Tribolium castaneum: one gene and its partners. The protein of the gene in region 4 purifies or fractionates together with the protein of the main gene of each other region. This does not show direct contact. Links are inferred from orthologs where the notes say so. Each region holds a gene or a part of one and is shown on either strand. Other genes may lie near its edges. The genes, in order: CstF64, Cpsf160, orb and Sym.

Region 1 (7,377 bases), on a different chromosome or scaffold from region 4:
CAGCAGAATTCACTGCAACAAACGGTTTTGCTCTACGACTTTTAGTTTTCGAGTTATAAATTTTTTGGTTGAATAAAATTTTCCACTATAAGAAACAACTATCTTAATTTTTAGCAAAAAATTTTAAAACTTTAGATCTCGTTAAACGTTGGTATAATTCAGAAAATGAGCCGCTGAGTTCATTGGAACAAACCGTTTTGCTCTACGACATTTAGTTTTTGAGCTATGAATTTTTTTTGTTGAATATGGGAAAATAAAGCCCTTTTATATTTTGTTTTATAATCTCGTTATTTAATTTTTTGTATCTGTACAAAAACTAAAAGAAAACAATTTTTCTTCCACCTTGCAAGGTTAATTAATAAGGAAAACGAATTTATTTATTTTTTAAAATTTTCAGGTTTTATGTAAACAATACTTCGAGTGGGTACAATCGCACGCCGGCCACTTGCCACCAGGGGCGGTCCAAGGGGGGCACACCAGCGAAGGGGAGCCCCTTTACATAGGCCGCGCCTACCACGAAGGCTCCCAAACAATTGGCAAAGTACTTAACTCACCCTTATAAATTTTAACCCTTGATCATTTATTTTCCAGATACACCCCAGCCATGGTGTCTGCTACATAGCATACGGCGGCGAAGAAATCGCTTGTCCCGAATACGAAACTTTAGTCCTTAGAATGTAAATAAAGTCATTCTTGTACCCCACTATTGTTCATCTCCGCATCTTCCTCCTCCTCTTCCTCCCCCTCCATTTCATACAAGCGCACCTTCCTCCGATTTTCCGCCAATACGATACCGACACGTCGACTCCCCGACACTGCAAACTCCGCCCCCACCATCCCCTCCACACACTTAAACAGCTTCGGAACCAAACACGAACCGTTCAAACTAACCACGTTAACCGCACCACTAAAAACACGATCTGTCTCCCCCCCATCCACAAACTTGTCCAAAACGCCACCTATCGGTATCTGACTTAAAACTGTAGCTTTAGAAACGGTGTTTTCTTGCAATAAAACCGACAATACTGCACTCGAATATAGTTTAATATCGATCACGTGATAATTATCCTCGGAATTGTCACGGGGGAAGTACAGACGCGCACACTTTATGAAACAATTGCCATCGTCTAGATACACCTGCAGGCCTAGAACGGTCTCAGGCGGCTGCAAGTAACAAAAAAGAATCGATTCTTTGTTTAAGTTGACTTGGGACGTCCGTAACGAATCGCCGCAAAATTGGAAACAATTGAAGTCATTCAAATGACTGAACTGCCTACTAATTTGCTCTCTAGGTGTCGCGAAAATCGCATCGACGCTTTGCTTCAAATGCTTGTACTGTTGTATCAGCGACATCTCTTTGAAGTGCCTCAAAATGGAACTATTTTTTTCGATGCATTGGTTCTGGGCCAAAAAATCAGTCCATTCGTTCCCGGACATGTCTGGTTGGATCGTCAAATTGCCATCGCTTAAATATTGCCCCAACCGCTCCATAATGAACCCCTTTTGTTTGTTATTCCGACTGATGTGGTCAAAGTTTTGCAAAAATTCGGTGATGTAAGCCAGGTCTTGCTGAGTCATTTTGGGGATTTCGTTCGGTATTGGCTCATCCAGAACGTGCATTATTGCCGTGTAGAGCCAGCGGAAGAAGGCCTTGTAATTGATGATGGAGTGATTGATGATTTGCTGCATTTCGCTGCCTTTGATCAAGAAGGCGCCGTTCGAGGAAATGGCGCCGGTAATGGCGGCCGCGTCCAAACCCAAAACCTACAATCACCCAATCACCATTTTTTACACTAATAACTTCTTTTCAATTGAAACGCGTCCTAAACGTGGGAGCGAAAAGCCGAAAAAGGCGTTTTAAAGCCGTCAGGGGTTTCCCCGAATATTTTGGACTTTTTTCACGTAGTATTTGCTCGATTTTAAACTAAATATTTATTTATTTTGCCAGATAGTATTTTGTTCGTTTAAAAAATCAGACACTATATTCGTTTCAAAGCAAACCTGATTGATATTTGTTTGTTTCACTCAATGTAGCTTGTTGCGTAAAATTTCGTCTAAAATACGCCTGTTTTTTAACTATTTCTCAGACTTTGAAATTATCGAACTAAATGTGATTTTTCCATTTTTGTGCATTTTTGATGGTTTTTCTTGCCAAGTTCACACAAAATTAAATTTTAATTTTTTTGTTGAGTTGGCAGCCACCACACACTTGTACCAACCTTATAGCGGTGTTCCAGTCTTGCCATCCCCCTCATTTCGGCCAAGTGATAGGTAACATTCTGCCCAAACTTCATCACATACTTCAGCATCAACTTCTGAATGTTGGAATAACTCATCTCAATCGTCTGCCCGAACTTCTCCAACCCTTTCTTCGTTAAATCGTGTATGAGAAAGGTCTTCATCTCATCCGAGCAAATTCCAAACGTCAGCAAATCCAAAAAATCAGCCGTGACGCCCCCTTCTGGCACCTTGCTCGCATATTTCGACAACTTGTTGTCCATCTCCAGCAAAATGCTCTCCCAGGACTCGGTGATGGTGGTAATAGTGTTGGAGAGATAGGTCACCAGTGAGGTCAATTTTATGTGTTTGAGGGCCAAAGCGAACAGTTCGTTTGTGTGCGTTTTGAAAATTTCCGAATCGAAACAAATCAATTTAACGTTGTTTTCGTTGTCTCGCACTGTGAAAAACATGCGGTTCAGGTCCTCGTTCAAATGCATGTTCTGGATGGAGCAAAGACAGTTGAGAGTTTGCTTCAAGTCAAGGGAAGCGCACGGGAAACAACCGAAAACTCGCACGTGCACGGTGCCCTCACTTGTCCCAATCAGGAGCAAATTAAAGTCGGTTTGCTCTTGCAAAATGTTGGTTTTCTGACCATCGTCGTTGTTGGGGGAATCGAACTGTTGTAGCACCGGTTCGGGCAAAAAATTACCCGATAAGTCCTACAACTGGGAAATTAAACGAGCACTAACATTCGGGTTTTTTTACAATGTGTTTCATGTACTGATTCTGTTTACTGTCTTCGTCAACTGAAGGCAGTTTCCCTTTAACAGTCCGGTCTTGCAACCAATTGAGACATGAAACTTCGCCCTTGATGTCAATAGTGTGCAACACCGACTTATTCTCGACCTTCACAAGCAGTATTTGGCCTGAAATTGCACAAAACAATGGATTTAAATTATTTCCAATACTTTTTTTACAATATTTTACCAGAACTGTACGCAATTGCTATGATTTTGCCGTCAGGCCTCCAGGCAATACTTGTGACCTTTAACCCATCCTTGGGGGCACTGAGACTCCACGCTTTGGTCCAAGTGAGTCGATGAAGAGCCACCTCTCCTACAAAGACACCCAAAAATGCCGGTTACTGCAAATGGGGGTTACCTTTGATATTGGCAAGAGCGACAAGGTCCATACGGTCGCTCCACACCATTTGAACAATCTCACTGGCCACATTGCGCTCTTCGAGCTGTTTAATCGCCTGAACTGTGCTCATTTTCCAACAATTAGTAACAAAAAACAATTTTCAAATTGTAAGGTTACGTTTAATTCTGTCATGGGTACCAACTGTGCGTCTGGACCCGATTTGCTTTATTTAGCCAAATGTGCACAAACAGGCCTAGTCAGGCGTTACGATTCACTTTAGGGTTGTAACCACAATAGATAAACCAACATTTTTGTTATTGTTGGCTTTAAAATGCATAATTTTGTACTTTTTTAAAAGGTAGAGGGTTGGTAACGCTGACCGTTTGTTGAAATTGGTGTCCCAGGTGTCTTGATTACTTCGTTCCAAGTTGGAATTAAACAATCACCATGGATAATTTAGAAGCAAATATCATGGACAAGTCAATGCGTTCGGTCTTTGGTACAAATTATTTAAATTTTAAGTGATAATTATAACCCCATTGCTTCCAGTGGGCAACATCCCCTACGAAGCCACCGAAGAGAAGCTCAAAGACATTTTCGGCGAAGTAGGCCAGGTCCTGTCATTCAAGTACGTTGCCCTGCCCCCTGAAGCCCCCTAACGCCTGAATTTTAGGTTGGTTTTCGACCGCGAGACAGGCAAGCCCAAAGGCTACGGCTTCTGCGAGTACCGCGACCAGGAGACGGCGCTCAGCGCCATGCGCAACCTCAACGGGTACGAGATCGGGGGGCGCAACCTCCGGGTCGACAACGCCTGTACCGAGAAATCGCGCATGGAGATGCAAAACTTGCTGAACCAGCCCCCGGTCGAGAACCCCTACGGCGAGCCGATTCAGGCCGAGAAGGCCCCCGAGGCCATCAGCAAAGCCGTGGCCTCGTTGCCCCCCGAGCAGATGTTCGAGTTGATGAAGCAGATGAAGCTCTGCATTCAGAACAACCCCACTGAGGCCAGGCAGATGCTGCTGCAGAACCCCCAGTTGGCGTACGCTCTGCTGCAGGCGCAGGTGGTTATGAGGATTATTGACCCGCATACGGCGGCTGTGAGTTGGGGGTTTGGGGGCGTATTTATATTTTATTGGGGGGTTTTAGACAATGTTGCATCCGCAAAATCCCGTTCCTTCGTCTTTGACGCCCAAGGAAAAGACTAATCCAGGCCCCATTCCGATTAACAGTAATTATGTCTCGAATCCCACGCCTGTGCAGCCCCCAAGACAGGACTTTCAGCCGGTGCCAGCCCCCGCGATTCATAATAATTCCAATCCGGTCTTCACAGGTGATTTTTTTTATCACAATTGATTATAAATAATAATAATGTTTGCGTTATTGCAGGTCAAGACGTTGATCTAAGATCACTGGACCCCCGAGGGGCTGATCCTCGCCTCAGCCGCCTGGGCGACCAGGACATGCGCACTTTGCCCGGACAACTCCCCAACCCCCTTCCGCCGCCACTTGTCGAAAAGTAAGTAAAATAATTCAACCTTGAGCCCTTTTACTCAAATTTAAACAGTTTCACTAAGCAGGATCAGAAATTGGAAAGGTAAATAACCATTTACAATTGATTAGAAATACAATTTACTGATACTTTTTCTTAGCTTTAATAGGGACCCACGTGGAGGTCCGGCCAACTTCCCATCTGATCCGAGACAACAACAGCGAGCTGACCCAAGACAGAAAAATATGCGTATGTGTGAAGTACGTAATTGAATTGGTTGTTGAAAGTCTGATTTTAGCCCCTCAGCAAAACGCGATGCCTCCGCAGCCGGTCAGAGCCCCGCAGGGGCCCCCCAGTACCCCCCAAGTTCGCCAAGCTGCCAATGTTGCTTCAAGTATAGGTACAGCTGGGGCCTCAGACCAGGAAAAGGCGGCCCTGATTATGCAAGTCCTGCAATTGTCAGATGAGCAGATTGCAATGCTGCCACCTGAACAGCGTAATAGTATTCTAGTTTTGAAGGAACAAATCGCCAAAAGTGCACACCGTTGATTAATTAAGTCATTTCCCCAAATCAGTTTAATTTTTACAGTTTACATGATAATTAAAAAATCTTTAAAATTATTAACATAAACACTATTTACAGTATTGTGTATATATCATTTAAAAATCAACAACAAAAACGCACCCTCTAGAAAGTACAAAATAAATGAGCGATTCCTTCGGTTGTTTACGATTAAATTGTAAACAAGAGGTGGATTTATTCGTTTGCAACTTTCAGTTACAAATCTGGTTGTAATGGTTTTGTTAAAAAATTAGCTAGTTCGGCACGTTGGTACTTCTTGAATGGACGATCCGTCTAAAGCGCTTCCTTCGATCTGGTAACCCATGCTCGCCAACATTGATTCGAATGGGTCCATTGACATGCGATGCTGATTTGTTTCGACTACAGTGGAGATGCATTTGACGATTCGGTTGTTCACTTTGCCGTCCTAAATAAACGACAACGGAAACTCCAACATTAATAAAATTAATAGAAAAAAGTTACTATATTTCGGAGAAAAATTTCCGATCAAGTGACTAAGTTATCCGTTTTCGAAAAATCATACTAGCCTTTTTTTTGGAACCTTTATCGAATTAAAAAAAAGCCGTAATGTAGAGTGGCCAACTTAATTTCAAAGTGAGACCAGCAATTGTGCTTACCTCAGGCCGAGGCGACCATATTTTAACGGCCGTATCAATCCCGCTGGACGCTATAACACAGGCACTAGGGTGTGGTTGAATGCAATTAACTATCGAGTTATCTCCAAAGAGAGCCCTAACCACATTCATACTCTTCTTATCCCAGATAAAAATGATCCCTTCGTCCGATCCTGCACAAATATAATTATCACAATCACCTGAAAGCCGCCGTGAAAAAACCAACACTCTACAACCACCACAAACAACCTAAAAAATTCGCCTCCTTGATATCAGTCGTGGTATTACAATGCCCTATGTAAATCTTCTCAAAATCGAACGAATCCAAACGTAACTTTTTCTCATCATCTTCCACCTTCTTCACTCCCGTCTCCTCAAACTTGACGCTGTTTTTGAGCGCTTGCAACTCCTCAACGAGGAATTTCACCTGCGAGGAGGTTTCACATTCGGGGTAAAGTTTTGTAAAGTGTTTCAACCAAGCGTTGGCTTCGTCTTCCCACTTCATGGCAATTAGGCATTTGATTAATCCAATGTAAGCCTGTTTATGGTCCGGCCAATGCTGAATCACGTGTAAATAATCACGTGCTGCCGCATACAAATCGCCCATCCTAACAAGAAAAAAAAAATTAACAAGCCTTTTTTTTTGGCTATTTGTCTCAATACCACTTGCGTTGGTACGCCTGTAGCGCCCGCCTCATGTAAAAGCAGGCACAGTCCGTGTTTTTCTCAAACAAGTCGGCGCTGACCCCGTTAAGTTCAGCCAACAGTACGTTCTAAAAAAAATTGCATTTTCCTAGTAGTGACTGGGGGGATAATTACCGGTTGGCAACAATTCCGGTAGGGTTGATGGGGCCGTTTAGGTAAGTTTTGGGGGATTTTGAGTTCGTTAATGTGTCGGCTATTATTTACATCAAATAAATAAATCTGTTCACCCCCGATATTTACCAACATTTCTGAACCGGCGGAATTGAACGCGATATAAGTGACTGATAGTTTGATGCTCATAATGCCGGCATTTTCGCGTGCCAGGTGCCCGGGGGCGTAGTATTGCACACAGTCGCTGTTTTGGGGCTGCGGGGACGTCCTCTTCGACGGATTAAACGACAAATTCGCCTGAAAACCCAAAAAATGCAAGTTTTTCCCCAACATTTTACCTATTTTACCATTGATACTTTGATCATCCTCCTGTCATACAAGCGCACGAAGCAGTCGTTGGCGCCTATTGCGATATAGTGCGATTTTGTGGGATTCACAGCAATGCATTTGATTTCCGATTTGAAGCTTAGGTCGACTAAGACCTTGCTTTGCGTGGGACACTCGTGGGGTTC
Region 2 (7,776 bases), on a different chromosome or scaffold from region 4:
TGTGATCCATTACTTATAATCTTTAATTAGACAACTGTTTGATAACACTTTGTAATCAAAATTTAAATATTTTTCACTTTTTATCCACTTTCAAGTTCCAACAATAAACACTTTATACCACGAAAAACTACAGAACCAAAGTCAAAGCTAGTATTTACCACCACGTACGTTTAAAGTGATTCTCTCTAATGTAAGTAATTAACACTAAACACGCAAAATTGTTGAACAATTCATTAAATGTCAGTTAAATGCGGCATTACGAAAATTTCTTTACTGTTTTCGACATAGTTCAAAAGTCATCACCAGAGGGCGTCTAGTTAATTTTATTTCCGAATTGTCATTTACACTGCATTTGCTTGTAATGTTACACAGAAGCGTCGTTAGTTTAATCGGTAATTTAATGCGCGATTAACTGATCACGTGACCAAATTGAACAAATTGATTGGTCCATTCGCGTTGTTATAACAACGAATAAATTTTAACAAAGCTTGCTATAAACCGGCACTTACTTACGTGAGATTAAAATTTAAACATTATATAAATTAAATAAAGTGATTGTGAATAAAATAGCTAGAATCCTAAGTGGATTGGCATTTAGTTAATAAGCTTCCTTAGATGGTTTTGGACCGTAAAGTGTTCCAAGGCGTTTGGCACCGAAAACAAATCGAAGAAATACGCAATGCCAACATTGACGGTTTGGAAACTTGTCCATTCTGCGATTTCTGTATGATCCCTGACGAAGGAGACAAGATTTTTAAGTGTGCCAACATTGAATGCATGGCTGAAACATGCCGCCTTTGTCGCCATAGGTCCCACGTGCCTAAAAGATGCAACGAAATCGAATACGACGAAGATGTTAAAATGCGAACTTTCATCGAAAATAAAATGACTGAGGCACTTCTCAGGTAATTGCCTTTTTTTTGCAAAGTTTCATGCAAATTATTATTGCAGGAAGTGTTGGAAATGCTCTAAACAATTTTACAAAGAATCAGGCTGTAATAAAATGACTTGCGTCTGTGGTGCCATGATGTGCTATGTTTGTGGGGAAGCTGTGACGGATTATAGGCACTTTGGAGCTGGACGGTATATTTTTTGTTTGGTTTTTGTGGTTGTTTTTGACATTACTTGTGCAGGTGCCCTTTGCATACTGAAAATTTGCAACAGTTTCACCTAACTAGGATACTAGAAGGTGCCCAATCGGCCAAAAATGAGTTGGGAATTACTGGCAATCCGAATCTGCTTAAATTTGATCCAACAAGGGGCATCGAGAATCAAGTGGCTTAGATGCATTGTTTTAAACTTTTGGTTTTTGTCTATCATGCTGTGGCCTTATTCTTCTAATAATAGCTGTGATCAGAATGTTTTCCTGCTCAAAATAATGTGTTTGTAGTTAGGTTTTTCTCAGGCAATAGTTGTTCTAACTGTTTATAGAATTACAAGTTTCATACGATTTATAAATTTTATAGAATATTGATCATTGTTTTCTTACGATTTGTATTAGCTGTTACATTATAAAGATTGTATGATTATTGCTCATGTATTTTTAATAAATTGTTTCTATGTTTATGGCTTCTTTGTGTTAATTAAATTATACTTGTTTTTAAAAATTATTGTGGAAAACTAAATAAATGCCTCGTATTGAAAATTTTATTAATTTAAATTAAAATGCGACAATTATTTAAAATTCAAAGTTTTAAAAATTTAAAATTCGTATCGAAATCACAGGAATGCAAGAAGAGCTTTAACTTTAAAGAATTAAAAAAAATGTGTTAAAATATTTGCAAAAGACGGTCACTACTTAGGGCCCCCGGTGGCCCAGTGGTATAAGCGCCACTTTCGGCGGGGGAGGTCGGGTGTTCGAACCCGGATCACGGCAACAATTTTTCTATGAAAAAAATTGTAGAAAAGGTAAGTGAAACAACACGCAAATAAAAATAAAAGATTGTGAAAACACATAGACGTAAACGTAAAGAGGAGACATTTAAAACCGGCAGAAATAAGAAAATAAGGCGAAAAAATAAGAAAATAATGCAGCATAAATACATAAAGGCTCCAAATTTAAACGTAAGACCCCCAACCTGATAAAGGTAGAAAAACCTTTTGTCAACTAGAGTTCCCTTATGGACGTGAACGTAAAAGTGCAACATAACTTCAAACGTAAACCTTAAATCTTTAGATGTAATGAAATAGAGAAATAGAGATAACGCAGCATCTGGTCAAAATTTGTAATATGTATTATTTGTATATAACATGATCGCAACAAAGTCATTACGTTATTTTATGTTTTTGCATTTTTGTAATCTTAATCCAAAATGTATTTAAAAATTTTGCAATTTATTATTTTAAAATAATTATTATTTAAAATATACACAAATACTTTCAAATCTGTTGCCAACAGACTTAGTATTTCTGGATCAGCCGGTATTATGGAAACCAAAATTGTTATAAAGTTCATAATTTCGAAAATTTTAAGTAATTGTTTAAAGACAATAAATATTAATGTAAACTTTACGTTAAAGGTAGTGTTTTTATTATATTTTTTGTGTTTTTTACAAAAAATATTACGTTTTTAATATAAATTAATTGTTAAGTTTACGTTTTCGCAACCACAGGTTTCTACAGTATCAGACGTTTTCCGCATACACACCAATTTTGTGTTTTTAGGTTATGGTTCAAATAAAGTTCACAAATCAAAATAAACTGAATGAACTCCAGCCCCCAAATATGCTAAACCGACAAAACTATTCATAATTCCGCAACTTAAACAATTTCCCGTGTGTTCTTGTTGCAAATTAAATTATTCCAATGTTTTCTATTTGTAAACAAACGCACCCTGCCACGGGGGTGGAACACGCAATTTCGTGCCATTTTTTCAGCAAGTCTGAGAAAAGTTTAGTTACGTCAGGGGCCAACGTAATCAAAGTGTTTCGCCTGATCCCAGACATTGACACAAAAACCAGAATTGATAAATTTAATGGTATGCAAAAACGTTGCATTTTCACCAGTTTACACTGCTTTTCCACATTTTTAGAAACAAACCCTCCGAAGTCTAAGCTAGAATGTGTGGCTCAATACACTTTGTTTGGAAATATCATGTCCATGCAAAGCGTAAATCTTGCAAACTCGCCCAGAGACGCTCTGTTATTAGCGTTCAAAGACGCAAAATTATCAGTGGTGGAATATGACCCCGAAACGCACGATTTGAAGACTCTGAGCTTGCACTACTTTGAGGAAGATGACATGAAGGTGCTTAAACTAAGCACTGTTAACTAATTCATTGCAATACTTACTTACATTTACAATGAGAAGCAGTACTTAATTCAGTTACTTGATATTGAAATTAAGGTTTAGATCAATTACTCGTCTCGGTTCAATTTCAATCAATTTCTCTTTTAAAGTAAATAAATCTAAAGTAGCATTTAAAAATAATATTACGTAAATTATTCTCACAAACAAAATTCTGACACTCATCAAACAAAAAAATATTTTAAGAAATCAAAAACTAATTCAGATCCTCTATCAGCTAAATCAGAAGTCTGCTCTCAATTAAAATGAGTTTTTTTGGAATTCTTTATTATTAAATTTTTGTTTGGCTATCAGATCTTAATTTATTGTTAATTTGTTTTTTTTTTTATTATGTATTTTTTAGGACGGTTGGACCCACCATTACCATGTGCCTATGGTGCGAGCTGATCCTGAAAACCGCTGCGCTGTTATGACCGTTTTCGGCCGAAAATTGGTAGTTCTTCCTTTCAGGCGTGAAAACGCAATTGATGACACCGATGCTGATATTAAGCCAATGATTGGTGGAGCTTACGGTTCAAAAGCGCCAATCTTGGCCTCATATATGATTGTTTTAAAGGACTTTATCGATAAAGTTGACAACATAATAGACATCCAGTTCTTGCACGGTTATTACGAACCAACGCTCCTGATTTTATTCGAGCCTTTGAAAACTTTTGCTGGGTATTTGTTACATTAACCCTCACATAAGTATTAATTGTTGCTTTAGGCGCGTCGCTGTGCGAACTGATACGTGTGCCATGGCTGCAATTTCCCTCAACTTGCAGCAAAAAGTGCACCCGATTATTTGGAGTGTTGCAAATTTGCCGTTTGATTGTGTAAAAGCCGTCCCTATTAAAAAACCGCTCGGTGGCACGTTGATTTTTGCAGTAAATGCACTAATTTATCTAAATCAAAGTATTCCACCGTATGGGGTTTCCTTGAACAGTATTGCCGAAAATTCAACAAATTTTCCATTAAGTATGAAATTTTTATTTCATAAACATCGTTTTATCTGTTATTTCTTCTAGAACCGCAGGACGATTTATGTATAAGTCTAGATTGTGCACAAGCCACGTTTTTGGAAGACGATACAATTGTCTTGTCTCTGAAAGGGGGCGAACTTTACGTCCTAACTTTGCTGGCAGACAATATGCGATATGTTAGGAGTTTTCATTTTGAGAAAGCTGCAGCCAGTGTTCTCACAACATGTGTGAGTATAATATTTTGAAATAACACGTAATTATAAGACTTAGTTAAAAAAATTCAGTTTAAATTATGATTTTTTTACTCGAAACAAAAATACAAAAATGCGATTTTAGATCTCTGTATGTGAGAACAACTTTTTGTTCCTCGGCTCGCGCCTCGGAAACTCCCTTCTTTTGCGCTTCACTGAAAAATGCAACGAAGTCATAACTCTGGATGAAACGATCGAACCGAGCGCCAAACGCCTGAAAGCTAGCAATAGTACAAGTGAAAATGAGGACGATAAAGTCCTGGACACGTTAAACGATTGTATGGCTAGTGATGTGTTAGATATTCGCGATCCGGAAGAACTGGAAGTGTACGGAAATCAAAAGCAAGCCAGTCTTCAAATATCAAGCTACGTCTTTGAAGTAATAATAACACACAAAAAATAATTCTATAACATTATTAATTGTTTTATTAGGTCTGTGATAGTTTACTCAACATTGGCCCTTGTGGCAATATCTCGCTAGGAGAACCGGCTTTTCTGAGCGAGGAATTTTCCGAAAACCTTGATTTAGATTTGGAACTTGTTACAACAGCAGGGTATGGGAAAAACGGGGCGCTTTGTGTGTTACAGAAGTCTGTAAGGCCGCAAATTGTGACCACTTTTACGCTACCTGGGTGCTCCAATATGTGGACTGTGCATGCCGGGGAGGACAAACATGCGTTTCTCATTTTGAGTCAAGAGGACGGCACTATGGTAAGGCAATAACCAGGAAATTCAGTCGTATTTTTATAATTATTTAAGCATTTTTTGCCTTTTCTTGTTTTCAGTTTTGTTTATTAATTATTATACAAGTGGTAAGGCAATAACCAGAAAATTCATTTCTTTCTTTTTTTCTTTTCTTGTTTTCAGTTTTTGTTTGTTATACAGGTTGGTCTTTTTAAAGTATATTTTTACCATATGTCAAAAATTCAGTAATTACACAAAATACTTTGTATTTTTCTCTATGCCTGTGAATTTTTTCCTTATAATTTATTGTTCCTAATTTTTAACTACTGTGTCATCTGTTATTTTGTGACAAAAATCCATAAAAATATGACCCAAAAAATTATTAGTTAAGTGAACATTAAAAATTCAAATAAACGTAAGAAGATTAATAAAGAGGATTTTTTTTAAGAAAACGCAAAAGCTTATGTTTGGAAAATTTAATTACAGAGCCCTTTGCTATAAACGTTTGTTCTTTAATTCCTATTTTTAATTTCAGACGCTTCATTTATTTTTTTTTATTTTTTAAAATATCGAATTTATTTGACCCCAAATTTCTATGCATGAATTTTTAGCAGTTAAATGAGACTAGTTTTTTATAATCTAACTGAAAAAAATATATTAAATTTTCTCTTTTGAAATGAATTAAATTTATCAGTCATCTTACATTCGATAAAATATTTTTCACGCAATAAAAGCCCTTGTCTTACAAGTTTCCACGAAAGACAGTTTTAGGAAATAGCCTATATTTCTTTTTATTTTATTTTTATTATAAGTATTGTTTTTTTTTCTTAATAATTGTGTTATAATTATAAATAAATTCGTAGATTTTGCAAACGGGTGACGAAATCAACGAAATCGATAATACGGGCTTTGCCACTCACATCCCGACCGTTTACGCTGGTAATTTAGGAAACTTGAAGTACATTGTGCAGGTTACAAGCAGCGCTGTGCGACTTTTACAAGGCAAGACACCCCCACTTTATAAATCATTGATAAAAAAAATTCTTAGGGATAAACCAATTGCAACACATTCCCCTGGAATTGGGGTCCCCCATAGTCCACGTGACAAGTGTCGACCCCTACATTTCCCTACTAACAACAGACGGTCAAGTGATCACACTCATGCTCCGGGAAGCCCGAGGGGTCGCTAAACTAGTCATAAGCAAATCAACTCTGTCAAACGTAACTATTTTATATGATTTTTCAAAAAGTGAAGCAAAATTTGCAGTCGCCCCCCGTCACCACCATATGCATGTACCGCGACGTTTCGGGCCTTTTCACGTCGAAAATCCCCGAGGATTTCACGCACATCCCCGAGCATTTCATAAACGAATCCGAGACGAAAATGGAAGTGGAAAACGAGGACGATCTGCTCTATGGAGACGACAGCGATTTTAAAATGCCAACTCTGAACCCACCACAGCCCAAACCGAAAGTTTACTACAACTGGTGGAAAAAATATTTGTTGGACGTCCGGCCTTCGTATTGGCTTTTCGTCGTACGCGAAAATTCCAATTTGGAGATTTACTCAATCCCCGATTTTAAATTGTGTTATTACATCACGAATTTGTGCTTCGGTCATAAAGTCCTGGTCGATAATTTGGAATCGGTGACGATTTCAGCCTCGACACCCATTTCCGCGGCACATGAAGCCAATATCCAGAGGCAGTTCGATGTTAAGGAAATTCTCGTCGTTGCGTTGGGAAACCACGGCTCAAGACCACTTTTAATGGTCAGATTGGAGCGCGATTTGTACATTTATGAAGTGTTTAGGTTTCCGAGAGGGAATTTGAAAATGCGCTTCAGGAAAATCAAACATTCGCTGATTTATTCGCCAAATGTGTCTGGGAGAATTGACACGGAAGATTCGGATTTTTTCGCAATACAGGAGCGCATTATTAAAATGCGATACTTTACCAACATTGCAGGTGATTTATTTTTGATTTAGGGAAAATTGGGATTAATTTTTTGGCAGGTTATAATGGCGTTTTTGTATGTGGGGCCAACCCACATTGGATTTTTATGTCAGCCAGGGGCGAGCTAAGGACACATCCCATGACAATTGACGGCGAAGTGCTCAGTTTTGCGGCTTTTAATAATGTGAACTGTCCACAAGGTTTTCTTTATTTCAACAGAAAGGTAAATTAAAGTTAAATCCGATCATTGCTTAGGTCACACCACAAAAAAAACTAGACGTAATTTTAAGTCTACTTTCAGAATCTCTAATTTCCAATAACTTCTACTTTTACTTAACTAGGGAATAACTAGTCCTACCTGCATTTTTGTAAAATTAACGCGTTTGAGCTGATTTTTAATCTTCAAAAATTACACTGAACCTCAAATTCTTAATAAATTGAGAAAATATTACCTACATTTTCATAATTTTCAAATAAAAACAGTAGAAATAATTAAAATTTGTGCTCCGACTGCGAATACGTTTAAAAAATACATGCAGCAAGTTGTAGTGAATTAAATTTCCTTTAAAAAAGTCAGTAAGATTATAATAATTATTTCTTATCTTTAGCCCTTTACAC
Region 3 (7,831 bases), on a different chromosome or scaffold from region 4:
CCGGTACTAAGTCTGTTAGACCTTGTCCAACAGTTATGTACCTAGTTTAGTTATAATATTATCAAAAAACACACTTATATTTTTTTAATTTTTGAAACTGAAAATGTAAAACCGATTTATTATTATTTAATTTTTTTTTAACAGTAATCCTAGAATAAATTATAAAAAAACTTTGGGGACATGTTAAGAAGCTAAAAAGGCATCCTAATGAGCACTAAAAAAAAGAGCACGCAATTAAAAAAAATTTTTTATCGAGGTCGTACTTTTTTTAGGACATTCTGTATAAACAATTACCACGTCGAATAAAATCAAGATAACGTACCATAAAACAATGAATTCAAAAATAAAAGGGAAAAAAATGCCGCGATTTTCTCTTCAAGAACAGTAACTTAACAATAAATAAATTATCGCATCTAGAAAATTTCACTACACAAATAAACCCGTTAGAAGAAAACTGTAATTTTCCCAATTTTCTTTTGTTATTAACATTGATTGAAGAATCTATTGCAAAAAGATGAAGTTTCCAACCTCACCTAGAAGGACGATATGAGGAAGTATAGATAAAATTTTCTCAATTTAATTCTGTATTTTTTGAAGTTGTAAATATCATTACTTTATTTTTAGGTAGGGGTAACCAAACGTCCTATTTTTTCCGGACGTGTCCTCTTTTTCAAGGTCTTTGTCCGTGTTCGGTATTTATTTTTGAATTAATAAAATGCCCTCTCTTTCACAAATTTTACAATTTCATCGCACATCGGTATCATTTTTTAATAAATAAAAGGTTTTTTCGAAATTGAAATTAATAAAAGCTATTTTTGGTTTAGGCATTTCATAATGTACATGTTTCGAGATAAAATTAAGAAGATTGAAAGAGAAAGTGGCTTAACAGATAGATTGTCAGATTTTTTTTTACCAATAGAAGTGTAAAAAATATTCCAAAATTGTGAAAATGTAACCGAAGTTAATATAATAATGCAAAAATAATTTTATAGTAGGACAGTTCAAGAGTTTTATGTTTATTTGTTGTCTAATAAAACATTATTGAAAGTAATTTCTCACCAGAATAATCTTTTAAAATTTAATTTGTATGATGTGCTACTTTACTGTGTAGTTACATTTGGACAAGCATTTGTTCGAGATTTTTATTTTATCACCTAAAGTCTGGTTTAGATTTTACGATTTGTTACTTTAAAATAAAGAGTTATTGATTAACAAAAAATACGTTACATTTGTTATTTAGAAAAATTTAATTCCAGACCCTTTTTTTTCTTGCAGTTTCTGTGTCCTCTTTTTGTTATTTTCAAATACGGAGGTGACACAGGGGTGTGTAATCGGTCTATAAGTTTTGTGCTATTTAAAATATTGCTATGCCGTTTTTATTATGCGATAGATCGGTGTTGTATACAGGGGACCAAAGTTATATTTTTTAAATAGAACACCCTATATATTTTTGCATAATTTGATTCTACAGAAAAAATAATGTATCGTTGTAGAAATTATTGTCTTTTCGTTTCGGAATTATTCAACTTTTCGTTATAAAAAAGACCAATTTTTGAAAAATCATTACGTAGTTGCCTATGAAAATTTTCCGTTAAGTTTGCAAAAAAAAACTCAGAATACCTTGCAGTTTTAGCAAATAGTAAACTTTTACTTGATACACGCAGATAATGTACAGGGTGTGCCAAAACGCAAAAAAAGTTGAATAACTCATTTTCTTAAATGGAACACCATCTACAGCGTGCTCAAAAACTGGCGCACCAAATCAATGGTGTGTGGTAGAGAACTGGTTACATATAAAGGTAAAAATAGTAAAAAAATTATTTGTATTAAAGTTATTGATAAATAACGGATTTTAGATAAATGATATGTGGCAACGTTGTCTAACAGTCATGATCGCAGTAGAATTGGATCAATAATAAAAATAAATCATTTTTGAAACGGTTTCCGAGGAAACAATTCCCAGTGTTGGCACATCTACACATTGTGATTTTTTGAACAAATTTTAATTTTTTTAAATTAAAAAAACTGTTAAAGTCTGATGTGAAATTTAAAAATAGTTATTCATCGTTGTGTTAGGGAACGATTACTTAGTGTAAAACATAAAAACATAAAAAAAATAATGAAAACTAAAGAAATTAACACAATAGTTTGCAGCTCCAGATTTTTTAAAATATGACTTTAGGAATTTTTTCAACATTTTTTCCGTAATCTGCACTTGCTTCTCAATAACGTACCACTGAGTTGGTGCGCCAGTTTTTGAGCACCCTGTATATTACACGTATCGATAGCATTTTGCATATGCTTTCTAATGATACAGGGTTTGCATAGCAAATTTAAAGCATTTTTTTGACTTTTCAAAAAAAAATATTACAAGAAAATTTGTTATATTAAAATTCGATAAGTCAAATGGTAATCTTTTTATATGTACTAATGTGCCTAATTACATTAGCAATTTAATTATTAATTGATACATAAGTGAATTTTACTCATCAAGAATAACAAAATAAATAAAAAAAAATTCAGAACACTAAAAATATTTCTAATTTGCTATACAAACCGGATATTGTTAGAAAGTTTATAAAAAATGCTATCGATACGTGTAAAGAAATATATGGTGTTCCATTAAAAAAATGAGTTATTCAATTTTTTGCGTTTTGGCATACACTGTAAATTACCTGCGTCCTGCGTGAAGTAAAAGTCGACTATTGCTTAAACTACAGTATTTTCTGAGTTTTTCTGTTAGAAATTTATTGGAAAATATTCCTAGGCGACAGTGATTTTTCAAAAATTGGTCTTTTTTATAACGAAAAGTTGAATAATTCCGAAACGACAAGAAATAGACCCACAAAAGTTTACATGATTTTTTGCGTAGAATCTACGCAAAAATATTTAGGGTGTTCCATTTAAAAAAATGTAACTTTGGTTCACCAGCCTGTATACAACGCCATGGGTATAATAAAAATATTTTTAATTTATGTACTTTAAATCAATCTATGGGATAATAAAAACGACATGGTAATATTTTAAATAGCAAAAAAGTTATAGATTGATTACTCCCCCCTGGGTCACCCTGTATAGTCACCGTACTTTTCTATCTTCTAACCACCCTAACTCAATTAATTTTAGTAATACTAAAAAACGGCAATTTTATGCAAAATTTTATGCTTTACTGTTTTTATTTACAACTACACGTATCTTGAGTGAAAAAACACTCGGAAGACCCTTTTAAAGGGGTTGAAAAAAATTCTGTTTTCTGTGGTCACAAAATTTAAGACAAAAGACTGCACAAGCTGTAAAAAAAACGTTAAAAGTGACCGTACTTTAACCATACGTCCAATTAACACTAACAAGTTATTATTCAACAAAACTATTGCCCTGTTTTAATTAACTTTTAAAGCAAGAAGTGAGCGCTAAAAATACGTTTTTATACTCGGATGCGTTTCCTTCTTTTTATTTATATTTTATGTTTAATTAGAAATGTGATTTAATTAAATTACTCCAGCAATAACACTAATAATCGCAGATACTGACCCCGAAATTTTGTGCAAAACACCCTGTGTTAACAATTACATGCTTATAAAATTAGTGAGCAAACTTATGTGAAAGTAAGGAATTTGACAATTTCCAGCCCTATAATTTGTCATAAAAGTCCGGAAAATAGTTAGGTCTTGTTACACAACATTAATAATTAATTAAATAATTAGATGTAATTGCTAATGAGCATCTCGTATTATAAGTGGACGTTCATCCAGCGTAACGGTTGCTTTTGTGTCCCACTTGCACAAAAACTAAAGACTTTTTCTTTGTAGAGAGATAACACTTTTTTGTCGCTAAAATCCGGTTTGATTTTGATTAATTTGCATAATTTTACCTCCATCCTGTCGAGCACCGGCATTATCCCGGTATAGCAAACAACCACGTGTTGCAAATACACCGCAGATCGACCACCTTATCACCCACCAGAGCACCCTTAACACTTCACATCACTTCGAGACAACTGCTAATTTAGCGATGTAAGTCAACAGCAGAGTGAGTTTCCTGGAATTGAAGCGATTAAAGAGAGTTTCGTATGCTTCGATTGGTCCGTTGTAAAGAGAAAGGGTAATGTTTACATTGTGCACGTGCTCGCACAAAAAATTCAATCAGATTGACTTGACTCACTTCGCACCCCGTAACAAAACAATTCCTTGAATTTGAAATATTTGGAGTGCAGTTTTTATAACAAAGCTCAGTTTACACAACAAAACGCAATTAAATGAAAAGATCATTTTCTTAAAGGGGCCGCCCCCGACCGGCCACCTTTCGCAAAATCAAAATTAAAATAAAAGGAAAAAATAAAAATGATTATAGAGAAATGGTCCAGCTGTCCAGCGTCTTTTTTACAGTTGTAAACATATTTGACCATTGAAAGTTTTTTTTTCTAAGAAACATTCAACATTAATTATTTCTTGTGACACAATTTATTTCACGAATGCGTTCTTGTTCATGAGATTAAGGGCCTGAATGCAATCAGAGGGATTAATGAATATAGAAGACCTTCTTTTCATTGGGTGCACAAAATTTATAAAGTTTCAATAATCAGAATAATCTCCATTATGTGAACTAAAAAAAAACAGAGGTTTTCATAGAATGGAGATAGTTCACTTTTTTGTTAAACTGTTTATTACGTAATTAATACAACAAAGCAATAATAATATACTATGAACAATGGACTATTTGGTAACAGGAAAAAAAAAGTTCAATCTTTTCCTTTAAAGAATTTAGAGCAAAATCTCTGATTTTTCTCAGAATTAATTTTTTTCGAACGCTTTTAAACGGCTTCAGCTTCGTTCTCCTATAGTTAAATTTATGTCAAATTTATGTCAGAACTTTTCGTTTTGTAAATTTATTTATGACGAAAAATGGAGTAAAATGAATATTAATTATCACTAATCGCCATATTTGTTCTCAACACATTGAAGGAATAAATGTGTGCGAATACAAAAGTTTTAAATCGCTAACAAAATCAGAAAAATTAATTGAACACAGAAAAAAAGACCCATGTGTAGTTTTTTTCGTGGCTCATTCAACTGTAGTTACAAATTTGTATCTCCAATAGTTTTTTGGTCTACCATTCGATTTCTTAAGTTAAAGTAAGTTTTGGTAAAATGTCCAACCATAAACATAACAACTTGTTTAGACCTTTGACAAATTTAAGTAAAAACGTACTTTAAACATTCAGTTAATCGACAAAATTGTGAAGCCGAGAAAAAAAGCAATTTGGAAATAAGAACAAACTAGTAGCAGATTCTAAAAGTTATTTTAAAATTCACGTTTTTTATTTAGTATATCAGATCTCAATCAGTATCAGCATTTTCCACTATGTATTATTATTATTACTGTTGCTCTTAAAGTTCTCTTGATATTAACACTTCCTGCTTGTGGAGAGAGGACGTTTTTAGAAAAACTATCAAAAATTATCTAAGACGATGTACCAAAATCGATTTAATAATTTTCCTAACTTCCTGCTTTCCTGCAGTGGAAAAAGAAATACCCAATGGACTAGATAAACTATATTTTAGAAAAAGAATCTGCCTAGAGTAAAGTAAGGTGAATTTATTGAGTAAATTGTGTAAATATTAGATATGTAAATACCCAACAGCTGGTGTACATGCACAAAATTTAAAATTATTCTTGTTACGAATAGTTTTATTTTTATATAAATATACTATTTCAAGTATTTTAAAAGTAAACAGTTGCTTTCATTTATTTAACTTAGTAATTTTTAACTACTATTTTAATTAGGGGCGCAATATTTGGGACCTGTACACGGGCGGCCAATTGGCTAGGCTTGGCTCTTATATTTTACTCTGATGGAATTTCACTCTGAAAAAATAACGAAACTAAAGCACTTATGCCTCGTTAAACACCTCCTAATCAGAGTTTAAAACCGTAAATCAGGATTTAAAACGAATTCATTTTTTGAAAATCTGAACGATTCTCGCATCTTAAAAAAACATAAAACGACTTTTTATAATGTAGTTATGACTGCGAAATATTTTGAAACGTTTTTTCCAAATTTTTGGTGTTAATTATGTATTTCACGACATTTGAAAGTGCATTGATTTTAAAGATATGTAAGTAAAGAACTATTTTTGTTGTTTTTGTTCACAAAATGTGACGCTAACTGGGGGTGGACGATATTAAGATTTAAATAACGATAATCGATACTTTAAAATTATCGATAAACATCGATATATAAAAATATCGAAAATTGATACTTATCGATAAATCAAAAAAAAATATGGGTATTTATAGATAAAATGATAGTACCTATTAAATGTTACTGTAAATTTTAAAAAGTTGAAATGGTAAAATACTTTTTTTGTCAAATATATGTCTCAATTATACAGAGAGATCATAAAATTTTGTACTTACCTATAGATATGTACCTAAGGCTGTTGCAAAAAATGGTCGATTTTTTGTTTTAAATCGCCATCTTTACATAAAAAAGTTTGTTAGCGGCTTCATATGTTTTTGAACTGTCATCCTCAATTTTTTGAATTGGCAATCCTCAACTGTTTTTGATGTTCAGTATATTTTTCAGTTCTCTATTCAACACTTGTACTTAGAAAAAATAAAAACTTGTACGATATTTTTTTCTGAGAATATTAGACTGAAATCAGATGTCTATTTCAACACATTTTTTCTATTAAAAGAAAGAATGTTAATTTAAAAACAATCGGCGTAATTGGTCGTTCTTTACAAAAAAAGCAAAGAGTGCTTTGGAAAAAACGACAGCAATTTTATATTTAAACAAACTATAGATTTTGGAGGTTTAATTGCTTACTTATTTAAAAACAAAACATCATAAGCTAGAATTTTATTCTTCGCAAAACCAAAAACAAAACAGAGTTGTAGAAAATTCTGTTCGCATATTTAATAGAACTCTCAAAATTTAGTTTGTTTTTCAGCGTTTTTTCCAAAGCATTGTAGGCAAAAATGCATTTTTCTTAATTTTAAACAGTTTGTAAGTTTCGACCTTATCACGTGATACATAGTTGTAATCAGGAATAAAAAGACTTCAAAAATACAAGTATCAAAGTTGAGTGTTGTAACTCTGATATCAAGAACGCCTTGGAAAAGGCAATGACAGATTTAGATTTCTTGTAAAAAAGTGCCTGAAGAATGGCCTACTTAAAATCGTTTAGTTCTTTTAGTTTTCGCTTAAAAAAATAAAAACAAAAATTACTAATTTTTATTTTTCCCAATAATTCAGAAACTAAAAATGACATATCAAATTTTCAGATTACTGTTCAGCATACAAATGCCCAACTTTGCCCTAATTTAACCGACCTCGTATCATGTAAAACATCATTGTAATCAAGAACAAAAGACTTTTCAAAAACACAAATCTCAAATATGGCGTCCATAAGAGTGTTATCACATACATCTTGGAAAATGCGATGAGATTTAGATTTCTTGTAAAAAAGTACCTGATGAAGAAGATTCTAGTTAAAAACGTCCAGTTCTTTTGGTTTTAACTTGAAAAAATAAAAACGAAAACTAGAAATTACCGTTTTTTCCAATAATTCAAAATGACGTACACATCATTTTTTTTTTCAAATAATTGTTCAGCATTAAAATATTCACTTTCTGAAAAACAACCTTGTACCTCTTATAACTGAGATCCTCGTGGTGGGAGTCGAAAAACGGACTTCCTGTATACCTTTACTGTGCCTTTACAACGTTTGACCGAGTCTGAACTGATTTTTGTATTTTTGAACAAAAAATCATACAAGAACAAATAAAAAAACGCAATAAAACTCAAAAAGTCTCTTTATTTATCTAT
Region 4 (7,687 bases):
TTGGAGGAAGAGTACTTAAAAACTGAGAAAGAAAGCTCTGAGAAAGAAGAAAAGCTCAAAAGAGCTGAACGTTGTTTAAAACTCGCACAAAAGAAAGTTCGTCACAAGGAACGTGAAAAATATGACGTAAGTTTATTTACATTTTTTCCAATTATTATTTGTTTATCTTTTCAGAGAGACTTGGAAATCCGCCAATTGAAGGAAGCTAATCTCAGTGCTATGCAGCGTTTGGTGGAAATGTCTATACGTTATCAAGAAATGGCACCGCTGATTACTCGTTACACGCTCGAATATGACGTCAAATTACCCGAAAAACGCACAATTGCCTCCTTGTGTGCCTGCTCAGAATCAACAAGGTCTACGTCCAGCAGTTCTTGTAATCAAGAAAAAGACGTTTCTGACGTTAAAAGCGTCAAATCTGAGTCCAGTTCGACGAAAAGTTCCGCAATTTCAAAAGTCTCAATTACATTCCAAATGTAGGTAAAAATACACAATTAAAGTAAGGTTTTTTATTCATTTGTTAATAAAATTGAGATAATAAAAGTTAAATTAACGCTTATTCCATTCCGGGCGGCAAAGGCTCGTTGGCTAATGTCGGGGGCGCAGCAATCGGCTGAAAAAAAAATTGTCTAAAAAACCGCAGAAAATTGGAACTGCTGATTAAGCTGCAACTAAAACAGTTCCACCCAACAAAGCCTTTTTAATTGATTACAGTTTCGATCTCAACTATTTTAAATAGTATTAAAAGTCACTAGGACTTACCTCTTCTGGAGTTACAACCACCGGTGGCGGAACAATCGTTGGTGGCGGCTGTGCGTAACTTCCTAAAATGATTTCCTGGACTGTGGGCGGGATGTGCGACCTTTGCCCTTCAGTAAAATTCAGCAAATGCTCTTTGAGCGGTTCCCTCAACTCGGGACAAATTGACAACGCATCAGATAGTTGGGGCGGTGGTAATTGCATCAAAACAGTAAAACTTTGCGGTTTTGTTCTTTGACAACATTTGATAAATCCCTCCCATACCACTTTCTGTTTCCAAACCTTCAAAAAGCAACAAAAAATATTGATTATTTTTTTTTTGTAATACGACAGAACCTGTTTTAAGATCAGACGTTGCAAAATATTCATCACGAACCCTGACAGTCGGGGATAACTGCCCAAAGCTTGGATGACAGTCCTCATGAGTAGAGTTGGTAGCGGGGTTTGGTCCATTAACTGTTGCAAAACAACAGCTAATACTTCTTGAGTAAATACCTGGAATTTGGTAATTTGAGAAATATATTCGGTGCGAAAATAATTCGTACTTGTTTTTCCTGAAGACACATAGATGTGGCCTTAATTATAGTTTTCAAGTCGGCTTTCGTGGAATCAATTAAATGTAGAGCGACCAAAAGTTCAGTTGGGGTAATTGGACTGTCACCATGTAAGCCTAAAAGTCGGTTAAAGACTTCCCTTACAACAACCGGGTTCAATTTAATTAGCTTTGGCAAAGCTGCAATTACCTACAATTGTACAAATTAGTCAAAAGTACAAACGACGCTCGACCTCATTACTTCTTTCTTTGATAACCCGTTCAAAACTGGGATAAGAAACCTAACATCTGACACTCTCGTGTGATACAATTCCCTGACTCTTTGCACCAACTGTGCACTCGGGGGGCCCTTGTCCGTCAAAACGTGTATAACACGCGTGACCAAAGTTTCCGAGCCTTTGGGACACTCCTCCACCAGTTTTAGAAGCTCAGGTGAGTCCATCCCCATTGATCTGATCGGGGTTTCAAGCAGACGTAGAATAATCCGTTTAATGTTGGCCCCCGTCTGTACGTAAACCTTAGCCAAGTCATGAATAAGACTCTCATTGGCTGGCAATAGCGAAATATACGGAATAAGACAAGCTTTTATAAAATCATCGCCCCAAGTCTCGCTCTTCAACCTCCCTTGACTAAACCCACACAAACTCTCCGGCGGCCTTTGCAACTTCAAAAACTCCAAATTCATTCGTGCAAACTCCTCAATCACCAACCTCAACTCCACCTTCTTGTGCAACTCCAAAACGTGTCCAATGGCACACTCTCTTACCACGCTCAATTCGTACGTCGTGTACGAGAGGAGGGCGTTGAGGAACATCAACTGTTTGGGGGGCTTCCGGACCGTCAAATCGTGCAACAACCCCAAAGCTGCTGTGCATTTCTTCTCGTCTCGGCACAACTGGTGGAGCTTATCCAAAGCCTCGTCTGTTATTAAAGGCGCTTCCAAAAACAATCGACAGAGCACTGCTGAGTCGTGCATACAAGCGTTTATAAATGTGCAAAGCAAGATGTTGTAGCTTTTGTCCAGTTTGGTGTCTTTGCGTAAAGGGGGCACTCTTGAGAAGCCCTGCAGTATTCCGTACTCTTCAAAAAGCCACGCCAGGGCCAGGTCTATGTGAGACCGTAAGTCTGATAGGAGAAACGCCAACACTGTTTGTCTGACAGTGGGGCTAAAGCAGGCTGCGATTGTGGTGATTAGTTTTTGGTACAAGCATTTTGCGGCTGTTTTGTCCGCGGTTAAAAGTCGGTTTATGGACCCTATTAACAATTTCTCCTTTGTTTCTTTCTCGATAGGTTTGGTGATTTCGGACAGTTTCAGTGTCTTGATTCGGGGAACTTTTGCTCGTTCCTTCTTCAGGAGCTACCAAATGTGTAAAACATGTTGTAAAACAAATAGAGGCTTCATTATATTTTTTTTTAAGAATAATTACTAAAATTTCTTTGACCTCACAATTACGATAAGTTATCAAAACATAACTTAAAAAAAATACAGGATGCGTGATACATAACTTCTCAAATCATCCGAACCAACATAAGCTAACAGATAAAGATAAATACATAAATAAATAAATAAATAAATAGACAAATATTTGGTACAATGAATTACATCTTATCTTTTCTTAAATACAGCTGAAAATGTGAAATCTGAATTGCAAATTACTGTTTCTGTTTTACTTATTATTATATTATTTGTGTGCAAAAATTGTTTTCTTACCTTTTCCTTCTCTTCCTTGTCCTCTTCCTCCTTCTCCTGCTGTCTAAATTCCTCGACCTTTTTTGCAAAACTTTTCGAAGACGGCGAAACCCCGGCCTCAGTCAAATACGTGGCAATAAGTTTTGTCAAAACATCAAATTGGCCAACTTTTCCACTATCGACATATTTGCCATACTCTTTCGCAAAATCGGGAGACATTGTAGCCGGCAGTTTACTCATAGAAGCGAAAACCATTTGAACCGCTCTTTCCAACGTGAAATTTTCAGACACAAAGTTCTCATTCAACTCTTGCAGTGTTTGCGAATCACTGTCATTGGTGTCGTTATCGAATTCAATTTGAGGATCAAGTCTAGGTCTTTTATTGTAGATCTGAAGGGACTCAACTGAGAGAGTCCTCTTGCAATATTTCCGCCGCTCGTCGGGTTTCGGTACCATTTTAAGAATGTCTTGCTGGGAATAACCTGAGAAAAAAATCCTAAAAAATTTTTTTGCGTAAAAATAAAACGCACCTAAATCGGTGAGCATTGGGGTTAATTTCTCCACAAATTCGTAAGCCGCTGGGTGTTTGATAAGTCCAGCGAGTTCGGATTTTAATTTTTTACGCACGGAATTCACTTGAGTTGTTGTTAGAGTTGGAGGTAGGTTATTGTAAAGTGATTCAATAGCTGAGACAACTCGAGACATAAATTCGGCCCGATTTTTTGCAATGTTTGTAACAACGCCCAGGCAGGTTAACAAGTTGGCACTGCTAATATGGGGAGAGCCAAAAAATTTTAAAAGTAACTCAAACAAGGTACTAAAAAATTCAATTAGAAATTTGCGAATTTAAAAAAAAATAAATACTTTGCTTCCTCTTCTAGTTTTCGCCTCCGCGCCAATTTTAACGTCAGAGGAACATCATCGAGTGAGAAGTCGTTCGGTTTCTTGTTCTCTTCCTGGTCGGGATAAGTTTGCAACAACACAACACATTCTAAAAATTTCACTGAACTAGTCCTAATGCCGTCATTGTCACTATCAATCATATTTGCAATTTCTAATTTTATGGCAGACAATTGCTTCCAGGCGTTTTCCATTTCTTCTGTAATTACAGAAGCCTTGCATAACCAGGCCAACGTTTTGCGATAAATACTGATTAAAGCTTGAATTACGCGCTTTTGCACCGCTATTGACTCATCACATAGTAGCATATGAAGGTTTAGCATTACTTTAGGTAAAAGAGACTCGCGCATTTTGCTAAAACAAAAGTTAAGTAACCAATTAAAATGCATAAAACCTACCATAACTCTTCAATAAAACCCACTAGCGCTTTTTTCACGTCCCCATTCCTATCAGTCGTGAAATTAAGCATGTTTTGTAAAAACTTTGGCAGCAAATGGGGCGACTTCCGAATCAAAACTTCTTGCAATTTGTGGAAGTATTCAAGCTTTTCTGCAGCAGAGCGGGACACTGCAGCGCTATTTATCCATTGGGTCACCTAAAACGCGTCTCTTTACTACCGAAATCAACTAAATCTCGGTTTTTTACTAAATCCTCGTCGGAAACTTCGTTCATGGTAAAATCCATGTCGAGAGGATTTTACAACCAAAAATGACGCAATTGTTGCCACTAAAGCAACGAAATTTCGAAAACAAAGCTAGTTTTATCTAAAGCGTTAAATTAATTGAAAATGAGAGCCAATCATCCATTTTTGGAAAGCCAAAGATTGAGGTTATGGCAGAAGTGACGTGAACATGTTACCAAAAAACAGTAACTTTTCCGCTTTTTGTTGGCGACTTTTGCTGTCAAAATACTATTGATGTGTCAAAATAATAAAAAATTATTAAAATACAATGTAATTGCTAATTACTTGGAAATTACAATACAATAGATTAAGTAACTATCGAGATGGAATCGAATACGCCATCCGAAAGTGGCAAGAAAATCGTTTTGGAGAATTTATCGAAAGAGGAATTGGTTAAACGGTGCGAACGGCTTTTGATTCTCGCCCAGAAGGCCAAACAGGCGAAGGACGCGCTCCAGGAGGAAAATAACGAGCTGAAAAATAGGCTAAAATCGGAATCTGGAGATGCCACAACTGCAATTATCGAAAATTTGACCCAACAGAAGTTGCAGTTTGTTACCACGATTGAAGACTTGAAGAGCCAAAATGCCGCTTTGGTGAATAAAGTGCAAAACTGCACGCAAGACGCACGTCTGTGTGAGGAGAAGGATAGGCTTGAAAGCGAGAATATTTCGTATAAAAGGCAAATCAAGCGTTTGACGGATGAAAATGAGCAGCTGATTACGCATCTGGAGTCTCTGGAAAAGCAACTCGAAGAGTGCAAAAACCTGGGACTTGAACAGCAAAATCAGCTGCTGATGTTGGAAGAGGCGAATCAAAAGTTACGGAGTGATGACACAAGTGATAAGTCTGCAGAGTTGCAGAAGATGCTTAGTATTAGTTTAGAGGAAGTTAAGAAGTTGCAAGCTGAGAATAACACAATGAGGGAGAAAATTGACGTGCTCAAGACGAATCTGGGGGAGAAGGATAAGAACATTTTAACGATAGGCCAAGAGTTGCAGGAAAAATTGAAATTGGTCGAGGATTTAGAAAAAATCAAAAATGAAACAAGAGAAAATGTGGAGTTGGTTGAGAAACTTAAAGGGAGACTGAAATTTTATCACTCAAAAGTTGTAAAACTGGCCGGTAATGTGAAGGTTTTGAAGGAAAATAAAAACGAGGTTTTGCGTTTGCTCAAAACGTACTCACATCAAGTGGAAGAATGGAAAGAACAGTTGGGTGTAGCTTCAAAAAAGTTGTGCCAAGAAATTAGTGATATCAAAGTACAGAACTCTGAATATCACAAGGAAATTGAAGGTTTGAAAGAAAGTAATGCAAAATATCTGAAACAACTTGAGGCACATAAAACCGACGACGAGAAAAGTAAAGAACTTGGCGAGTTTGAGAGAATTTCCAAAGAACATAAGAAATTGATTGAAGAAAATCAAAGATTGTTACAACTTCAACTTGACTACCAGCAAACTGTTGAAACGCTCACTGTTGAAAAGGAGAGTCTGCTTGAGAATTTGTCTCAATTGGAGGAAAGACATCAGGAAGAAATCAAAGTTTTTGACGACCAAAGCAAGAAAGACACAATTGAGATCAAGAACAGAATCGAAGAAAATGAAAAAATTTGCATTGAATACCGAAAAGTCATCTCCAAGCTGGAGGAGGATCTAGATTTAAACTTGAGGGAGCTAAATGATGCGAAGCAGAAGAATTACAGTCTTCAAGAAGCACTTGAACATTCAAAAGAAACGGAGAGGCAAATTGCTGATAAAACCAGTGAAGAAATACTTAAACTAGTTCAAGAAAATGCCCAGTTGGTGGAAATGAACCGAAAATTGCAAACCACCCGTGATAACTGCAAACAAGTGGAATGCCAAACTGAGGATTCAACAAACAGCGAACTGGAAGAAGTCGTGTCAGGTTTGAAGAGAGAAAATTCCGAACTTTTGGCCGAAATGAACGAAATGAATCAAGCACTGAAAGAAAGAGGAGAGACTATTTCCAAATTGCAATCTCACTGCGAAGAAGTTATGAAAAAATTGCAATTGTATGAGACACAAGCCAACAAAAACGTTGACAACATATCCCAAAAGGAGGAAATAATTAAAAAACTTGAAGACGAAATCGAGCGACTTAAAGCCACGAGTGACTTAAACTCAAACACCTCCGAAATCAGTGATTTGAAAAACGAAATTGAGAATTTGAAAGAACGGTTAAACTCGAATCTTGATTCAAGTTACGCCGATAGCGAGTGCATGTCCACGTCGACAATTTCAAGAACGGAGGAATCAAACAGAATGAAAGATCTGGAAGGGTCTTGGGAGGAAAGATACGGAAAACTACGAAACTTGGCCGTGAAACTGAAAGGGAAAGTTCGTGACTTGTCCAACGAATTGGTGAAGGAGCAAAACGAGAAGAACGATATTCAGCAAAAATGTGCCAGTAACGTGAAAACCATCGCAACTTTGCAAGCCCAGTGCGATAAATTACAAGACGAATTGGACGAAAACAAAAAACAAATAAAGGAATATTCCGCCCGATTGGATTCGACCCTTGCTGAAGTTTCCAAAGATAAGCAAAAACTGAGCGAAAACGAGGAGATAATCACCATACTCAAGAAAGAATTGGAAGAGTTAAACCAAGAGAAAGTCACGACTGAAGCCTGGAAGAAGCAAATAAGCGGCAAAGTTTCGACGTTTAGAAAGGAACTCGAAGCGAATAAGGTTTTGAAGAAGGAATACGAGGCCAAAATCGCCAAACTCACCTCGGACTTGGAGGCCAAAGAACAGGCGCTCAAGGCCGAGAGCGAGTACCACCAACAAACGAAAAATTCCCTTGAACATTCCAATATCGAACGCAAGAAAAACTCCGTCCTTAACCTGGAAATGCAAGACTACGAGAGGAGTGTCAAGGAGTTGTCCCAGAAATTGGAAAAGAAGCAAGAAGAAATCAACAAGTTGAAAAGCCAGCTCGAGTCGCAGAAAAGCACAACAAATGCGGTCCGCGAACAGAACAAGCTTTTAGAAGAACGAGCGGAAGAGATGAAGAGCGAAGTCGGAGCAACACAGGCTGAAATTATCGCTTGTAAGAAGCAAATTTCTGACTTGGAATCGGT

Evidence for each region.
Region 1: the proteins of Sym (region 4) and CstF64 purify together in Homo sapiens (affinity purification with mass spectrometry; 4 studies listed by BioGRID and IntAct, with this or other methods). This does not show direct contact. The link is inferred for Tribolium castaneum from reciprocal best matches to the Homo sapiens genes SYMPK and CSTF2.
Region 2: the proteins of Sym (region 4) and Cpsf160 fractionate together in Homo sapiens (co-fractionation; 5 studies listed by BioGRID and IntAct, with this or other methods). This does not show direct contact. The link is inferred for Tribolium castaneum from reciprocal best matches to the Homo sapiens genes SYMPK and CPSF1.
Region 3: the proteins of Sym (region 4) and orb purify together in Homo sapiens (affinity purification with mass spectrometry; 3 studies listed by BioGRID and IntAct, counting the BioPlex papers as one, with this or other methods). This does not show direct contact. The link is inferred for Tribolium castaneum from reciprocal best matches to the Homo sapiens genes SYMPK and CPEB1.

What each region holds. Positions count from the first base shown.
Region 1 is NC_087400.1:319,492-326,868, reverse strand, and holds CstF64 (cleavage stimulation factor subunit 2 tau variant), read left to right. Parts: upstream 1-3,607; 5' UTR 3,608-3,810; coding exon 3,811-3,862; intron 3,863-3,912; coding exon 3,913-3,991; intron 3,992-4,036; coding exon 4,037-4,460; intron 4,461-4,509; coding exon 4,510-4,693; intron 4,694-4,749; coding exon 4,750-4,879; intron 4,880-4,927; coding exon 4,928-4,957; intron 4,958-5,012; coding exon 5,013-5,101; intron 5,102-5,150; coding exon 5,151-5,401; 3' UTR 5,402-5,497; downstream 5,498-7,377. Other genes in the region: uncharacterized protein LOC659212, read left to right, coding at 398-541, 592-681; APC4 (anaphase-promoting complex subunit 4), read right to left, coding at 688-1,764, 2,220-2,939, 2,986-3,146, 3,208-3,336, 3,382-3,493; WD and tetratricopeptide repeats protein 1, read right to left, coding at 5,665-5,841, 6,053-6,249, 6,299-6,657, 6,713-6,822, 6,869-7,162, 7,213-7,377. UniProt on the Homo sapiens protein: One of the multiple factors required for polyadenylation and 3'-end cleavage of mammalian pre-mRNAs. This subunit is directly involved in the binding to pre-mRNAs.
Region 2 is NC_087394.1:33,812,945-33,820,720, forward strand, and holds the start of Cpsf160 (cleavage and polyadenylation specificity factor subunit 1), read left to right. Parts: upstream 1-2,619; 5' UTR 2,620-2,805; coding exon 2,806-3,246; intron 3,247-3,649; coding exon 3,650-3,966; intron 3,967-4,012; coding exon 4,013-4,263; intron 4,264-4,313; coding exon 4,314-4,495; intron 4,496-4,604; coding exon 4,605-4,898; intron 4,899-4,951; coding exon 4,952-5,230; intron 5,231-6,066; coding exon 6,067-6,205; intron 6,206-6,251; coding exon 6,252-6,424; intron 6,425-6,470; coding exon 6,471-7,170; intron 7,171-7,217; coding exon 7,218-7,381; intron 7,382-7,776. Other genes in the region: uncharacterized protein LOC103312284, read left to right, coding at 616-905, 952-1,083, 1,134-1,284. UniProt on the Homo sapiens protein: Component of the cleavage and polyadenylation specificity factor (CPSF) complex that plays a key role in pre-mRNA 3'-end formation, recognizing the AAUAAA signal sequence and interacting with poly(A) polymerase and other factors to bring about cleavage and poly(A) addition.
Region 3 is NC_087400.1:9,094,775-9,102,605, forward strand, and holds the start of orb (cytoplasmic polyadenylation element-binding protein 1), read right to left. Parts: upstream 4,035-7,831; 5' UTR 3,896-4,034; coding exon 3,872-3,895; intron 1-3,871.
Region 4 is NC_087398.1:8,154,462-8,162,148, reverse strand, and holds Sym (symplekin), read right to left. Parts: upstream 4,735-7,687; 5' UTR 4,587-4,734; coding exon 4,548-4,586; intron 4,498-4,547; coding exon 4,301-4,497; intron 4,257-4,300; coding exon 3,867-4,256; intron 3,820-3,866; coding exon 3,533-3,819; intron 3,485-3,532; coding exon 3,024-3,484; intron 2,670-3,023; coding exon 1,554-2,669; intron 1,503-1,553; coding exon 1,305-1,502; intron 1,255-1,304; coding exon 1,096-1,254; intron 1,042-1,095; coding exon 763-1,041; intron 614-762; coding exon 557-613; 3' UTR 495-556; downstream 1-494. Other genes in the region: Ccdc39 (coiled-coil domain-containing protein 39), read left to right, coding at 1-126, 175-480; GRIP and coiled-coil domain-containing protein 2-like, read left to right, coding at 4,908-7,687. UniProt on the Homo sapiens protein: Scaffold protein that functions as a component of a multimolecular complex involved in histone mRNA 3'-end processing. Specific component of the tight junction (TJ) plaque, but might not be an exclusively junctional component. May have a house-keeping rule.